Linked DNA regions of Xenopus tropicalis. The protein of the gene in region 1 purifies or fractionates together with the protein of each later gene. This does not show direct contact. Links are inferred from orthologs where the notes say so. Each region holds a gene or a part of one and is shown in the gene's direction. Other genes may lie near its edges.

Region 1 (3,835 bases):
CTAGTTTAAAGCTCCTGTCCACAGTAACAGGACACTTGATCAAAATGGAAATAAACAGAGTTCCACTGGCTCTGCTTTCTGGCTTTACCCAACTGGTATTTGTTTTCTTCTTGCAGAATTAACAGCCAAGATGGTACGGCTGACCTACTGGTAGAAGCTTTGGGTGCCAAGATTGTGAATAGCAGAGATGCCAAAGGGAGGTTAGTTTCTTTTTTTCTGGTTTCTGTTAATGCTGTAATACATGTGAAGATAAGCTCTTAACTAATACATATTAGGGCCCAATATACTTTTTTTTTTTAATTTGTTGTTTTTGTTTAATGTAAACACCCATTTATTGTACAATGCTGCTGAATATGTTGGCATTTTATATATTTTAAAGGGAAATTTTCTTCACTTATAGCAGAGGTTCCCAGGCAGTCTAACAGCAGCACATAATGTAATTTTTTTTTTTTTTTTTTGACGCAGGACTCCTCTTCATGCTGCAGCATTTGCTGACAATGTGAACGGTTTACAACTACTCTTGCACCACCAGGCTGAGGTCAATGCCACAGACCTCTCTGGTCGGACACCTCTGATGATGTCAGCAGAAAATGGAAGGACTGCAGCAGTTGGTAATTGTACTTCTTGTGTTATATATAGGTCCTCAGTGTTTTGAGATAAAAAAAAAAAAAAAAATAAATAAATATATATATTTTTTTCCCTGAGGAAGAGCACAGTTGGTGCTCGAAACGTTGGATCGTTTTCATTAAAGAAATTTTTTGTTTTCTAAAAAAGTCCCTGCGTGTGCGGCTCATTGTCTTGCTATATATATATATATATATATATATATATATATATATATATATATATATATATATATATATATATATATATATATATATACACTTTAATATGTTCATCCTTTTTACTTGATTAAAACATCATGTCATTCTCTATCCATTCATGTTGTAGAGTTCCTGCTGTTTCACATGAAGGCGGATTTAACTGTGATGGATATCAACAAGAACACTGCGCTTCACCTAGCCTGCAGCAAGGTAATTATGCTTATCTAGTTGCGTATGGGGTACTTTCTCCCTGTCGAGGTACTAGTATATTAAATATCACTGTTCAATATTATAACTTAAATGACAGCTTTCAGAAGTAACAGCAGCATTGACTTTCTTGTTTTTCAAGAAAGTCAATGCCTTTTGTTTTTGCAGTAAGCAAAAACAAAAGGTGTTGCCCCTGTGGAAAGACTGACTTTTTCATCTTACAGCACTTGTGTTTTTTATATTTAAATTTTTCCTACAGAACTTAGAGTAACCTTTAGACTGTGAGTATGTATCTACCTGCCTAACCTCATTCTGTAATACCTGTATGAGCATTAATAAGTTGGGCATCCCTTTGCTGCTATAATAGTGTTTACTCTTCTTGGTGGTTCTGTTCAATCACAACAGCATTAGTGAGATATACAGTTGAGTTTAGTGTCCTGTGCAATTTTCTCAGCTTCTTTCCCTACCATTTGAACAAATTCAAAACAGACCTGTCTTTGTGCATAGGATCATCATCAAGCAGGAAAGCACCTTTCTGAAGCTACTGTGAAAAAATAGATGTTAGTGGACTTTTAATAGAATGATTTCCAGTTACTACTCTCACTTGCTAACTAAACTTAAGTGTCAATGTAACCCCTTTTTTAGTAAAATGGCTAAATGAATAAGGCTTGTTCTGACATGCATTTTGACTATTCTTTTCAGTTCGGATATTAGGGCAGACTTTTAAACTATATAAAAAGGTTCTTTTGTAGTATCCTTATTTACAATATCTTTATTTCTAGGGACATGAAAAGTGTGCTTTGCTGCTTCTAGGGGAGACCCGGGACCTTGGCCTTATCAATGCAACAAACAGCATGCTGCAGATGTGAGTTGTGTTAATGAATGATGCAGGTTTTTTTTCCCTGTTTTTTTCTTATTTTCCAATTAGTTTTCTTGGTTGATCTGTTATATTTTATAATGTAATGCAAAGCCTTTAAGATTATGAAGTGAGTTTCTTGGAGGAGGGACCCACAGGAACAATATGTATAATCTAGCATGTTCCCCTAAAATTCTGTTTAGTTAGTAAAACAAACTGTTTCCTGTGCCTTCATGTACAGGTATGTGATATGTTCATGTTTAAATATTGCAATAAATAACCTTATGTTATCTTATTAAAAAAACATTTTGCCATAACTAAATGCAAAAGCCACAGTAATAAGATTGAAGTACAAAAATGCAAGCTGGTTTTGCAGCCATTTAAGATCTCTGAGTAGATTTATGCTGTGATGTAATCAATGATTTTGACAATTTAAATTGTAAAATTGTACGCTCCTGATATTTATTTTTCTGATCCTTTCCCAGGCCTCTTCACATTGCTGCTCGCAATGGGCTGGCATCGGTCGTCCAAGCTTTGCTTACAAGAGGGGCCACTGTGTTGGCTGTGGATGAAGAAGGTGAGACCATTACACGTTTTCTTATTCCCTTGTTTAATAAGACAAGTGTTTCTTGCCATGTTTTCACCCATGCAGGAGCAACAGCATTCCTACTCATGGCTGCTCTTCAGGGGTAGATGCTTTTTAGAAATTATGAGCCCTACTCATTATTAGCAGACACAGCATATTTAGCTGCAAGCCCTAATATTTAACAAACAAGTTTTAAGCAGAAATGTATTTCAGACTGTAATAACTCTGTCAAGGAAACGGGGCTGAAAGTCTACTGCAGAGTATCAAACATACATTAAGCGATGTGGTTTTAAATGGCAGAATCATTTTTATTATTAGCTGATTCAGTCCCCTACATTTCTATTTAGTCTGAATTTCCAGAAGAAACTGGTGTTTTACATAGGCAAATTTTTAAGTTTTTCTTATTTAAGTTGATATCCTTCTTCTAGATCATCATACCCATATAATTCATATAAAAAAAATTCCAATTGAGCTGTAGTGTGTGCAAGGTTTAACCAATTTATCTGAATGCAGTCTTGGGCAGTTTAATATTTCAGCTAGCCAAACTATCTGGCATAATGAAGGGAGTTCTGTTGTCTGACCCATAAAATTGCATTAACCCCTTTCACATTACAGTTGTGCATATGTTGATACAAACCCGCACAACTAGTTGTTAATGGATGTTTGAGGATGGTTTGCCAGTAGTGTATGCATATATTATTCCAGAAGCAGTTTCCTCTAAGTACTTGGCACAATTTTATTTTCTGTACTGCGCAACAGTCCCTCCCTGTATTAAATCATTGGTACATTTCGCCGCTACTTTAATAGAAACTTCATTAGAATTGTCTAATAAATTTTACTTCTTGCATTTATCTTTTTCACTTGACAGCAGGTCACACCCCAGCCTTGGCCTGTGCACCGAACAAGGACGTAGCGGACTGCTTGGCACTTATCCTATCCACCATGAAGCCTTTCCCACCAAAAGACGCCATCCTTCCCTTCAGTTTCAACCTTCTGAAAAACTGCAGCATCGCTGCCAAGACTGCCCTCCCTAATGGTGGCAGCTGCCCCTACACAAAGGATCGTCATGGTTCTATTGCCATGGATGGCTGCTACTCTGAGTAGCTTCTTTTGCCCTCTGGGTGATGCATCCTTACATTTAATTTATTTAGGATAATTTTAGGGCACTTTTTTAAAGGAGAATAAGACACAACATACAGTGGTGTTGAGCTGCTTACTAGGCTTTCCTCCCATTAACCTGCTCTCTTGAGCTGCCCTGGCTTGCACTGAAGCTTATGTAGTATTGTACCTTACTTGCGTATGGGGTGGAGATTCTACTTAGGTGAAAGGAGTTTTTAACTGATAGGGTTCCCCTTTCTCCAT
Region 2 (3,835 bases), on another chromosome or scaffold:
GCCAGTAGTTCAGTGTTTCTGTTACTGTATTTAATGTTCTAGTCAAAACCCTCTACCCACTGGCAGCAGCTTCTCTTTTTAATGTATTGCTCAGGAACGCTGGCTTCACAAACTATACCTACAATGCAGTGTGATTCACCAGAATATAACATTTTTAGTAGAGCAGGATTCTTAAAATGACCAAGAAAAATTAAAAACAGCCCTGTGCAGTTTCTTTGATTACAGCGGGGGTTATATCTCAGGCTTATTGACATTCTTATACTTATATCAGTCTCTTTTCTACAGTGTAGATCCCCTGCTGAATTCATTGACACAGGGCTATGATAGAACTCCTACTGTTAGCAACTGTATACTTCAAGTGATAGAGCCACGTCTAAAAGATTTTCACGATCTGCTTCAGCATCCTCCTAAGGTACAACCTGCTTTTGTACATATAGGTAGTCACAAGGTATTGCAGTTATGTGTGTTTATAAAATGCCAAATGAGACAGTAGTTTTTAAACTCTATTATGACTTTATCAATGTCTGCTTGTACATTTGCCCATATAGGCTTCTGTAAAAGGTTGAATTTGATGGATGTGTTACTATGACATTTCTACAAGTTAAAAGCCCTTTGGTTAGCTTTTCATTGATATAACCCTGAGTTGTGTTTTTTTTTTTTTTTTTTTACTATTCATGTTTAGTATGTCTATGAAGATTTTCATTCATCCAGGTCACGGTATATCTAGTATAAATAAATTTAAAGCAACTGGACTTGTTTGGTAATCATTGAAGACGTTTCACTACTCATCCGAGCAGCTTCTTCAGTTCTACTGAAGAAGCTGCTCGGATGAGTAGTGAAACGTCTTCAATGATTACCAACAAGTCCAGTTGCTTTAAATTTATTTATACTAGATATTCATGTTCAGGTTACTGTACTGATTCAGGGATTAATTTTTAAGCTTCTTATGAACTTCAGAAAGTCAGTCTTGCATTTCTAGCACCAAACCCAGCCTGTATGCTCTGTGGAACAGCAATTACTGTTTGATGTCTTTGTGTAAGTTAAAAGTATTTTAAATTGGTCAGGTTTATCCCATTAAAGTTTTGCACATTTATTTCTTTTGTGTTATTTTATAAAAGTGTAAGTTTCAGTGTAGATTGTAAGCTTTGCTTTAGTGTTGCGACTAATTTTCTTTTAAAGGGTCCCATCTCAAAAATTTTCTTTCTCCTGCTGAAGCTGTGAGCTAACACAGCCTGCATTCCAGATGAAGAAGAGTGTATTTTTTTTTTTTTTTTTTAAATAGGACCTCTTTGAACACAGTACCCCTATGTGGGTGGCCATACTTTGGTACCTGCAATACTACAGCTTGCTTAAAATGCACATGTGCATGATTATGTAATAAGCATGTGCTTATTGAGCAATCCTTGGTACTAGTTGTTAAGCACGTGGAGGAGATATTAGATCTCCTCTACCACGGGCAACTAATCTCCTGCATACGTACACGCCACTTCGGCTTTGCTAAGTAGCCTGAAGTTGCCTCTCGAGTAGCTTATGTTTCCACTCTGGCAATAATGAGAATTGCCGGCAGGGAAACAGGAGAGCTATCGTGGGTGACTAATCTCCCGCATATATCTTGGGTGAATAATCTGCTGCATATGTTTCCATATTGGCAATAATGGGAATTGCCAGATGGGAAACATGCTGCAAAGTTACATAACCCTGTTAGAAGAAGGAAATACATTTTGCATTTCATTTGATGCCAATTTTTAACAGTATATGGTTGAAATTACTGCACTGTTATCATGGAAAAATAGGTATGTGGTAAACAAAGGCATGTGTTTTCAAGGGTTTTATGTTAAACCAATAACCAGTGGACAGCTTCTGCAAGTTTAAAAACAAGGTAAGGAATTTTCCATGCGACTAATGGGTTTGTGATATTATCTCTTTCAATTTTAATGCAGAAAGAATCAATTTTGACCACAATTGGGGTACTGGAGGAGCCATTAGGAAATGCCCGTCTCCACACTACACGCCTTATTGCCGCATTGCTTCACACTAACACTCCCAGTATTAACCAGGAGCTTTGTCGGCTAGGTACCATGGATCTCTTACTTGTAAGTAAATCTAGCAAAGGCACTAAGCACTTCAAATTCAGTGCTTCTCCTGGCATAGGGAAATTTGCTAGAAAGAAACTAGTAAAAATGTGTTGCATTAATAACAAATATGGAATTTTCTGGCATTAACAACAAGAGCTAAAAGAATCATTTAAAAACAGATATTTTATTATTTGTAAGAAGATGGTGCTTCTGTAGCTAATATGTTATACCTTTCTCTCCCACAGGATCTTTTCTTTAGATACACATGGAATAACTTCATGCACTTACAGGTTGAGCTGTGTATAGCAGCTGTTCTCTCTAACTCCAGGCAAGAAGGGAAGTATCTGGCAGTTTCTGAAGAAAGACAGGAGGAGGAGGAAACACTTAATGGAAATGCAGAAAACATGGAGAACTGCCAGATCTGTTCCTCTGAGCATGAAGATCTAATGATCACACATGTGAGTTAGGATTTTTATTAAATGTATAATTTTTTAGGTGTGTTTTGCGTATGGTGATCCCCTTTTGTTGCCATTACTTAGAGCTTCTGACTCTGCGTGTATGTGCGAAAGACAAATTATAATTTTTATTGCCTGCCTTGTTTTCAAGGCTTACGTACCGCAAAAATATCTTCCAATGTTGCAAAGACTATGTCAGTTTTGTTAAAAGTGGTTCATCTTTAAGCTAACTTTTAGTTTGTTATAGAATGACTGTCATCATTTATTTGTTAGAGTTTTTCAATTATTTGCCTTCTTCTTACAAAAAATTATTGCTCTGCGAGGCTACCGTTGTATTGTTATTGTTACTTTTTGTAACTTTCTTTTGTATTCAGGCCGTCTCCTATTCATATAACAATCACTCATCCAAACCACTCCCTGGTTGCTAAGGTAACTTGAACCCTACATATAGAACAAACATTATAGGATTATGCTCATAAGTTTTAAGTATATTTAGTATCTCACCGATAGTATAGATGGGCCTGGGTGCTCATGCCCCAGACCTTCAGCTTGAGGGGACCATTTAGGAAATCCAAAAATTGAAAATGGCAGGCACTCCAGGACTTGAAGAAAAAGGTATCAGGCAGTAGACTCCAAAAATTGAAATAAAATCATAAAGTTTATTATATTAACACTTAATGCTACATGGCCTTACGCGTTTCGTACCGTATGGTACTTAATCATAGGCCTACTGCTGAAACTCCAAACTGAAGAGCTCCTGAAAATACACATTAACATCATGATAGTATTCCTTTAGCTCAAAGTTGAACAACCCCTTTAAATGATGTATTAAAAATACTTTAACCAACTTTATGATCTCTGTTGGAGATATACTTTGCAATTTAATAGCAGTGTGGCTTCTAACAAAATAAAATATCATATGTTCTGTCTAAAAAAAGATTGTTGCTGCACTTGTACAATAGATGAAATATATACGGTTGTCTTGATTCCTCTTTGCTATGTCATGTAATTTTCAAGATGGATAACTACTGAACATACAACGTATTAACCTTTTATAAATCAGATAAGTATGGTTCATTTAAGTCCTGATTTAAAATAAAACATTTTTTTTTCTCTGAGGGCTGGCTTTATTTGCAGCTTACTTATTTGTTCTTGAACCCTCTGTTCCCCTGCTCTCCAGGTACCCGTTGTAAAAGCACTATTTGGCCCCAGTAGTTAACCACTCCAGCACCAGTTGGGTAGAGATGGGTGGGCCTCATTTTAAAAGGGCCCTAACTATTGAAATCACAATCTCCACCTTTTTTT
Region 3 (3,835 bases), on another chromosome or scaffold:
CCACATAAGTATGAAAAAAGTTAATGGGTCTAACTAAGTAAGCGCTGGGATTGGCTGCTTGGTAGCCCCATGTGGACTGCCAGCTTGAAGCTCTGTGTACAGTAAACTAGTGTCTTTTAAAGCCAAACTATAAGGGAGATTTTGTAGGATGGTGTTGGATCAAAAGAACACAAGCCCAATGCTGGTGCCTGGGTTAAAAAATAATGGTACGGTTAATAAAATCTAAAGTGTAAACTACACGAGAGCATCAGACAAAATGAAAGCTGATGGTGTTGAGAAGACTTTTTTATTGAATTACATTGACTGTTGGATGTAGATGCTGGAACAAAACACACCATCTGACTTTATCTGATCCAACTTGTTTTACAGTTGTGGGGATCAGATTTTGTAGGATCCTACATACTGTAATCTCATGCTGTTATATGACAACATTTTGTGACCCACAGAATCTTATCAAAATCTCCCATGTAGTTTAGCGCTTTGCCTCCAAAAATAGAATTTTATACTGAATGCCTACTTTGACGCAACATGTTGTTCACGAGCTGCTAGTTGTGGATTAACGCCTTGTGCTAATTGTTTAGATAACATGCCACTAATGTGTAAATCTTGATAAATGTGTGAAATTGGTTTAAATTAAGCTGGCCTTTACATCCGCACCCCAATTGAGTGGATATGATATCAGGCTGATTTGAAAATTTAGTCCTTGGGTTTTCTTAAACCTTCCCGATCGACATCTGACTGATTTTATAGCATAATGTAGTGGTTTGGTCTGTGGCCAATCAGATTTGGTCCTAGCCCAGTGTATGTGTTTGGCCTTTGCCATGGATGTATTTTTGTAAATGAGTTTATCTAAAAAAAAAGTTTCTTTAAAGGGAACAAAAAATATGCAACATTTCCATTTTCTGAAAGAACTTTAAGCTTCCTTCCTAATGATGATGCTCATACCTATTAAACCTTTCACAGAGGACTATAGTCCTGGAGCTTCCACTTGCCATATCATACATGGAGCTAGATATTGTAGGCAGGCCAAAAAAGCTACCTGTATTTCTGTGTGGTAATCCTATATGTGGCCAGATGTCATTGTTTGGGTCGAATTAGAGGATGCCAATTTGTATAGTTTTCTGATTTCTGGTTTAGCCGTTACATTTGTTCTGTGGTCAAAAGAAAATCTTTAATATTTGTTTCACTTTTTTATTCTCTTTTAAAGCGACTATGTGATTATGTGTGTGATCTGCTACTGGAGGAATCAAATGTTCAGCCGGTATCTACACCCGTAACAGTTTGTGGAGATATACATGGACAGGTAAGTCACTTTCCATAAATCTGCTGTCAGACATAGGGTATCAAAAAAGTAAAGATTTTATTGCAGTTTCAAGATACATGAAAAACTGGGGTGGGTTATGCCAGTATTTTAGGCCACCGCCCAGTGAACAATTGCTTATGTCTTACCCTTTGCCGGTGCAACTTTTCAATATAAAATGCTCTTGCCTTGGCTAGTTTTTCAAAAGGGTGGCCTGCTGTTTCTCCTACTTTTCCAGGCATCACCCTGACCCTCTTTAGACTTGGAGAACCTTTAACCAGCTGTTCTGTACCTTGCATAAGGAAATGACCGTGACACAGGGGGTGCCTGGGAAGATAATGGTGGCTAGCCTGCTTAACTGAAAGCTACTTCAGGCCTATGCATTTTTTAAGAAAGAGAACACTGGGCCAAGTTTACAAGAGTTACTGGGAGATATCTATTAAATTAGAATAGTATAACAAATTAGCTAGCACAACATTCATGTTTTAGTTATCTCCAGATGAGGCTTATGTTTTGCAGTTTGGAGGATTGATTAAACAACATTTTTTATGTCATCTCATTAATAACTATTGTCAGGTTGTTCTAGTCTTTACTGATAAACATATACTGCCTTCTTTGTTATCATTGACCCCAATGTTGCTCTTGGATTAATCAGTTCCTAAGACATATAGTAGAATCCTGGTTTTAACTGTTCTGTGTCTGGCAAAGAAAAGGATTTTATTACATTGGTTGAGCCCAAATTACTCTGTCCCGTTTGTCTGATTGATAAGACCACGCCATTGATCATGTTGCTACATCTAGCAAGAGGTTTGCCTTTACAAGATCCAACAAAATATGGGACGCATGAGTGGAAGCTAGTTCTCTGCCCATGCATGGGACCTTCCCAAAAGACTCCACAATAGATATCTTCCCTATTTTTAAATCCCATGAGGCAAGGGTCAAATCAGCTTGTTGGTGCGGTCTTCCCCCGACAGGCCTGCATTGATTTGGCCCTGTATGTAGGTTGTTAAATTGGACAAAGATCCACTCATGACCTCCTCAAACAAGTGAATCTTTTGCGTATAAGGGCTGTGACACACGGTGAGATTATTCGCTGGGCGACTAATCTCCCCGAAATGCCATTCCACTGGTTAGAATGTAAATCGCCGGTGGGATGGCATATGCAGCGCTGCAATTTGCAGAAGTTTCCTCTTAAGGCAACTTCCGTGACTTCTGCAAATGGTGGCGCCGCCAGCGCTCTCCATTTTGGGGAGATTAGTCGCCCGCAACAAGGGAGATTTGTCGCGGTGACTAATCTCCCCGTGTGTCACAGCCCTGAGCGAAAGCTTTAAGAGATACGTACTTACAGCACCTGTTTGGAACCTTTACCTTTTGGTACATATACTTAATCATTAATGACATCTTTATGTAAGGGGAAAGGGGATGTTTTTGGGTGGGATGAATCTGTTTAGTAAACTAAAACTGCCATTTAAAAAAAAAAAAAAAAAAACCTTGTTACACTTGCTGAAAGCACTTTTTTTTTTGCTTGTTTTCTAGTTTTATGATCTGTGTGAGCTCTTTAGAACTGGCGGCCAAGTTCCTGACACAAATTACATCTTCATGGTGAGTGCAGGTTGAAGGGAGTTGTACTTGATTTGGTTTTTTTTTTTTAAAAAAGAAAGCATCTCAGTCATAAACTCAAAGGCTGACTAACACAAACAATGTTTTGTTTTTTTGCCAATTTAAACACATTCCACTTGTGTCTCTAAGTGGGAGACCTAGCTAGCATGTTCAACAAATCTGTCATATTTATCTTAGTGGGCACATTGAATTTGTTTTGCCAATAATTTTTTACCTGCCTTGTCCATTGCATTATGTACTACCGTGATGGCTTCATGTCAAACTGTTCCCCCAGAATGTACAGTCTCTTAACAAGTCGGTGAAGCCCCATTTGCAATAAAATGCCTGTTTAGTAGAAATAAACTGTTAAAAAAAATGATATACAGCATCTGTATTTATTATCTGCTTTTTTCCCTTTTCTTTTCATTTTGTAGGGTGACTTTGTAGATAGAGGGTATTACAGTTTAGAGACATTCACCTACCTGCTTGCCCTGAAAGCCAAGTGGCCTGACCGTATTACCTTGCTGCGAGGGAACCATGAAAGCAGGCAGATCACACAGGTGTATGGATTCTATGGTGAGCACTACTGTCCAAAACCATAAAACCAAGTAGGAAAAAAGCTTCTTAATCATTATTTTCCTGGCAGACAATTTGCTAAATGCTTTTCCTTATAACTTCCTGGTTTGCCTTGTCAAATGACATAAACACAGAGTAACACTTGTGCTATGATGGAAGTCATTTGCACTGCTGCTGTGACAAAGGCACTTGTTCTATGGCTGGTCTTCTGTTGTGCAATATTATTACTTTGAGACTGATTATATGTGTGTGTGTGTGTCTCCTGTTGTAAAATATAAGGGTAGTGACTTATTAAGTCACTGTAGTTTTCCATGTCCAAATGATTTTCTACAGATCATGAAACTTTGAGGTGACTTCTGC
Region 4 (3,835 bases), on another chromosome or scaffold:
CTATGCTTAATTTTGAATTTCTGGTAAGGAGGCAAGTTTTGGTTGTATAAAAAGCAAGTATAATGCCAAACAGAGCCTTCTGTAGGCTGCCAGTCCACATAGGGGCTATTAAGTAGCCAAATTTACCTCCATAAACCTTTTTCATGCTTATGTTGCTCCCCAACACTTTTTCCTTTTAAATGTGGCTCACGGGTATAAAAGGTTGGGGATCCCTGCTCTTTGTGCTCAAAGCTGCTGTAGTTATTCACTAGGCATGTCAAGTTGGTCGTAAACAAAAGAAAAAAATTCCCACTGCCCAGCCAACATACACCCTATATGTAGGATAAATCAATTGTTTACGGAATCAGCACATCAGTGCCTCCTCAATGCTCTTTCTGTATCAAGCTTGTCTCCAGTACACAGCACATGCCTAGTGATGTCTTTGTGGGGTTTTAGTTGCACTTTAATTAGTTTACTTCCCAATAATTACTTTTTTTTTGTTAAATTTAGGTATTAATAGCTTACTAGCAATTGTTTCTTAAGGAGCTTCGGTTATATTTTCCCATGGTTTCAATGCAACAGCACCATCCAGTGGCCAAACTTTCATGCAACATAAAAAAATTATTAAACTTAAAATGCATGTGTGGCTATTCTGTGCCACAACTTAGGAGCAATGCATCTCCCAAATACATACACAAATTTATTTTTTGTATTTATTAATGTATAACTGAAAATGTAATTTATTCTTTTTGCAGAAACAAAGCCTACAAACAACATGGGGAATTCTTGATCCACCCCTGGGGAATACTCGACTACATGTGGTGAAACTGTTGGCTAGCATAATAAATGCAAACAATAAAGTGTTAAATCAAGAGCTGATTGAGCTGGACACACTGAACACCATGCTGGTAAGATACTTAATTATGTTGCACACAGGCAGAGTGGCGACAGCTATGCATTGCTTGGGTGTTACAGCCAATGGATGTTAAATACTTTTGTTTAATTTTTCCTATCGTGTCCATGACTGCTCCTGAATTTTCTTCAGTCTTCCCCTATGGATCTCATTTGATTACCTGCTACGTGGGTTGTGTTTCTTTTGCTTTACTGATTTTTTTTTTCTTCTAGGACCTTTATTTCAAATACATGTACAATAATTTCCTGCACGCACAAGTAGAGGTGTGCATCACCACAATTTTAAATTCGTCTCCTTTGGAAGAAACCATTGAAGATGAGGCACAAGGCCACCCTCTTGTCAGATATGTAAGTTGAAATTTTTTTTTTGTTTTTACAATTGAGGGAAAAGTAAAGTTAAAATTATAGTTTTAGATACAAAAGATGACTGATTTAAGTAAACTTGGTACACCTGTTATTGTCTGGGCACTTTTTATTTTACCTTTCTAGTAAAAACATTACAAAATAAAATCCTGATCCAAAAAAGAAAATAATACCTTACTTAACAGTTCAACTATAAAGTGCACACTTGCCCAGACTTTACCATTGTGGGGTTGTCTTTTATTTAAATCTGCCAACATAACATGTTATATAATCATGAAAAAACTTCATCACATTAAACTGAAATGCCTGGCTGCTGTGATCCTAGTCTAAAAATCTACTGTTATATCCCAGTCTATCTATCAGGCACCATTGCTTTACTGAACTGACTATAGTTAAAATGTCTGTGTGGAAATTCTGTACCTCAGTGCTGGAAGTAAAGGCATCTGACATACTCTTTCTTTTAATCAGCTTCTGCAAAAATGCCGCCTCGTTCAGAGAATTTTATCAGCGTGGGAAGAAAACGAGAAAGAACAGTAAGGACTACAGAAATTACATTCTCAAAGAGATTATATATATATATATATACGTAGAATTCATGTGTATATATAAAGCTGGACATACACGCACCGATAATATCTTCGTACAATATTCGGTGCGCGTATCATCGCAGGAGGCGATCGGGCAGGTTAGAAGATTTTGTTCGGCCGCCATTAAAGGTGCCTGAGCAAAATCTGCCTTCAGGGCTGAATCGCCAGAAGGAGGTAGAAATCCTATTGTTTCCTGACGATTCAGTCCTGAACATCAGTGGAGGGTTGGAATGATCTTTCAATCGAAAAAATTGCCACGTGTGTGGCCAGCTACACACACGGGTTGTTTTTTTTTTGTTTTTTTTTTAACTGATTAATAATTCATCATTGCATTCTACAACACATCCTCCTTAGATGTTCTTCAGAATGTCTATGCATCAGAATGCACAATGTGTAGACACTAAAATTTGTCTTTTTTTTTTCTTTAGATCAGAAGGAGGGCGACGCAAAGGGTTCATGGGCCATCTGACAAAAATTGCAAATTCAGTTGTTCAGAGTTCTGAAAAAGGACCAAATGTATCTCTAGTTGGACAGCTGATAAAAGGTGAGGATAAGTAGCCTCCACATTCTGTTTGCCTGACTGATTTGTGCATTTTTATTTTTGAAATTTTTTACATTTTCACTTCCAAATGTTAGTGTTTTGCAATGAAGTCACCCAAGCACAAGATGGGGCACCTTTTAACACATTCTCTGTCATTTTCTCTCCTTCATTCGCAAACTCTGCTAAGTCATTTTCATAAATTGTTCTGCCTTAAAGGGTATTACTGTACATAACTACATTGGCAGGAGTTTGCAGGGTTAATTAAAGGGTAGTTACGTACTTTGAAAGGAACAATGGCTCTTTAGTGCCAGACAAAAAAAAATTGGCAACCTCCCTCCTAGTCCAAGATCAAGGGAATCATGCTATGGGTTTCAGATTAATTTCGGTGAGGGGTTTGACCAGTAATCCCCTCTGTGTTCCTTTTGCCTTTGCAAAAATTATCTGCACACTTTTAGAAGGTGTGTGGATTCAATTGTGCTAAATAATGTGTTTTCACACAAATTTCACTGTGCATACCACAATTGGTGTGTGTGTTGGCCAGTGTGTCTCATAGTAAACCTGTATGTGAATAAAGTATAGATGACCAAGCGCAGACCATGTATTGTGATGTGAGAGTCTATAGCAAAATGTTCTGCCAAAAGTTCTTTCTGCCAATCTCTCCAGCCAATATTTCTGGTTTCTCAGTGTAATCAGCTGAAAGAACCATGCAGCCTTTGCATTTTGCGGGGAAATGAGAAAATCATACATGACCATTTATAGGGGCAGAACATTGGGAAGAATGTAATGCACTATTTCCTGATTGTTACTGTTATTTCCATACCTTCTGACAGATCTAACTGATGAAGAACAGGAATGTTGGGACGGTTTTGTATCTGGATCTCTTACAGATACAAATAAGAAGAATACCATTGACCTCGTAAGATTTTTTTAAAATCTGAATTTATTCTCCAGTAAAAAAAAAATCTGCAGTGAATTTTATAGCAGAGCTAGCTTCAGCACAGTAGTGCTGCCTGATTCTCTAGTTGTGATTGGGTCCAGTATTAAGGGCAGGGTTGTGTTTCTGTATAATCAAGTGGGGTCCTCTGCTTTGCTGTTCACACCTGCACAGACCATCTGGCAAATGCCCCAGTTATTGAGAGACGGGGGAGGGCTGTGGTCCAGAATCTCTAGGATGCACACCCCTTTTTTTGAAAGTTAGGTAAAATTTTAATTCATCCTGCTAACTATTGTTTATCCTAAAGTATTCTAAAAGAGCCACTTACCTACAGAATAATGTGTGATGTAATGGTTAATTACATAATAGGCAATGTGCTGTGATCCTTCTCCTTTAAAAATTGTGTGTTTTACTTCAGAAGCTGTAAAACAATTTATGGGCAATGACACAGGCCTGCCATGACCTATACTGTGTGGTAAAATGGACATATATGCCCCCAACATGAAACATGCTGTTTGC

The links. Proteins that work in one complex are often made in the same cells at the same time.
Region 2: the proteins of ankrd52 (region 1) and ppp6r2 purify together in Homo sapiens (affinity purification with mass spectrometry; 3 studies listed by BioGRID and IntAct, counting the BioPlex papers as one, with this or other methods). This does not show direct contact. The link is inferred for Xenopus tropicalis from reciprocal best matches to the Homo sapiens genes ANKRD52 and PPP6R2.
Region 3: the proteins of ankrd52 (region 1) and ppp6c purify together in Homo sapiens (affinity purification with mass spectrometry; 6 studies listed by BioGRID and IntAct, with this or other methods). This does not show direct contact. The link is inferred for Xenopus tropicalis from reciprocal best matches to the Homo sapiens genes ANKRD52 and PPP6C.
Region 4: the proteins of ankrd52 (region 1) and ppp6r1 purify together in Homo sapiens (co-immunoprecipitation; 3 studies listed by BioGRID and IntAct, with this or other methods). This does not show direct contact. The link is inferred for Xenopus tropicalis from reciprocal best matches to the Homo sapiens genes ANKRD52 and PPP6R1.

The regions. Positions count from the first base shown.
Region 1 is NC_030678.2:137,394,293-137,398,127, forward strand, and holds part of ankrd52 (serine/threonine-protein phosphatase 6 regulatory ankyrin repeat subunit C), read left to right. Parts: intron 1-116; coding exon 117-200; intron 201-465; coding exon 466-611; intron 612-951; coding exon 952-1,034; intron 1,035-1,813; coding exon 1,814-1,896; intron 1,897-2,372; coding exon 2,373-2,464; intron 2,465-3,341; coding exon 3,342-3,577; 3' UTR 3,578-3,835. UniProt on the Homo sapiens protein: Putative regulatory subunit of protein phosphatase 6 (PP6) that may be involved in the recognition of phosphoprotein substrates.
Region 2 is NC_030679.2:89,212,884-89,216,718, forward strand, and holds part of ppp6r2 (serine/threonine-protein phosphatase 6 regulatory subunit 2), read left to right. Parts: intron 1-285; coding exon 286-412; intron 413-1,940; coding exon 1,941-2,093; intron 2,094-2,320; coding exon 2,321-2,533; intron 2,534-3,835. UniProt on the Homo sapiens protein: Regulatory subunit of protein phosphatase 6 (PP6). May function as a scaffolding PP6 subunit. Involved in the PP6-mediated dephosphorylation of NFKBIE opposing its degradation in response to TNF-alpha.
Region 3 is NC_030684.2:28,169,973-28,173,807, reverse strand, and holds part of ppp6c (serine/threonine-protein phosphatase 6 catalytic subunit), read left to right. Parts: intron 1-1,207; coding exon 1,208-1,303; intron 1,304-2,836; coding exon 2,837-2,902; intron 2,903-3,333; coding exon 3,334-3,475; intron 3,476-3,835.
Region 4 is NC_030683.2:114,083,588-114,087,422, forward strand, and holds part of ppp6r1 (serine/threonine-protein phosphatase 6 regulatory subunit 1), read left to right. Parts: intron 1-734; coding exon 735-887; intron 888-1,104; coding exon 1,105-1,239; intron 1,240-1,722; coding exon 1,723-1,787; intron 1,788-2,269; coding exon 2,270-2,385; intron 2,386-3,212; coding exon 3,213-3,298; intron 3,299-3,835. UniProt on the Homo sapiens protein: Regulatory subunit of protein phosphatase 6 (PP6). May function as a scaffolding PP6 subunit. Involved in the PP6-mediated dephosphorylation of NFKBIE opposing its degradation in response to TNF-alpha.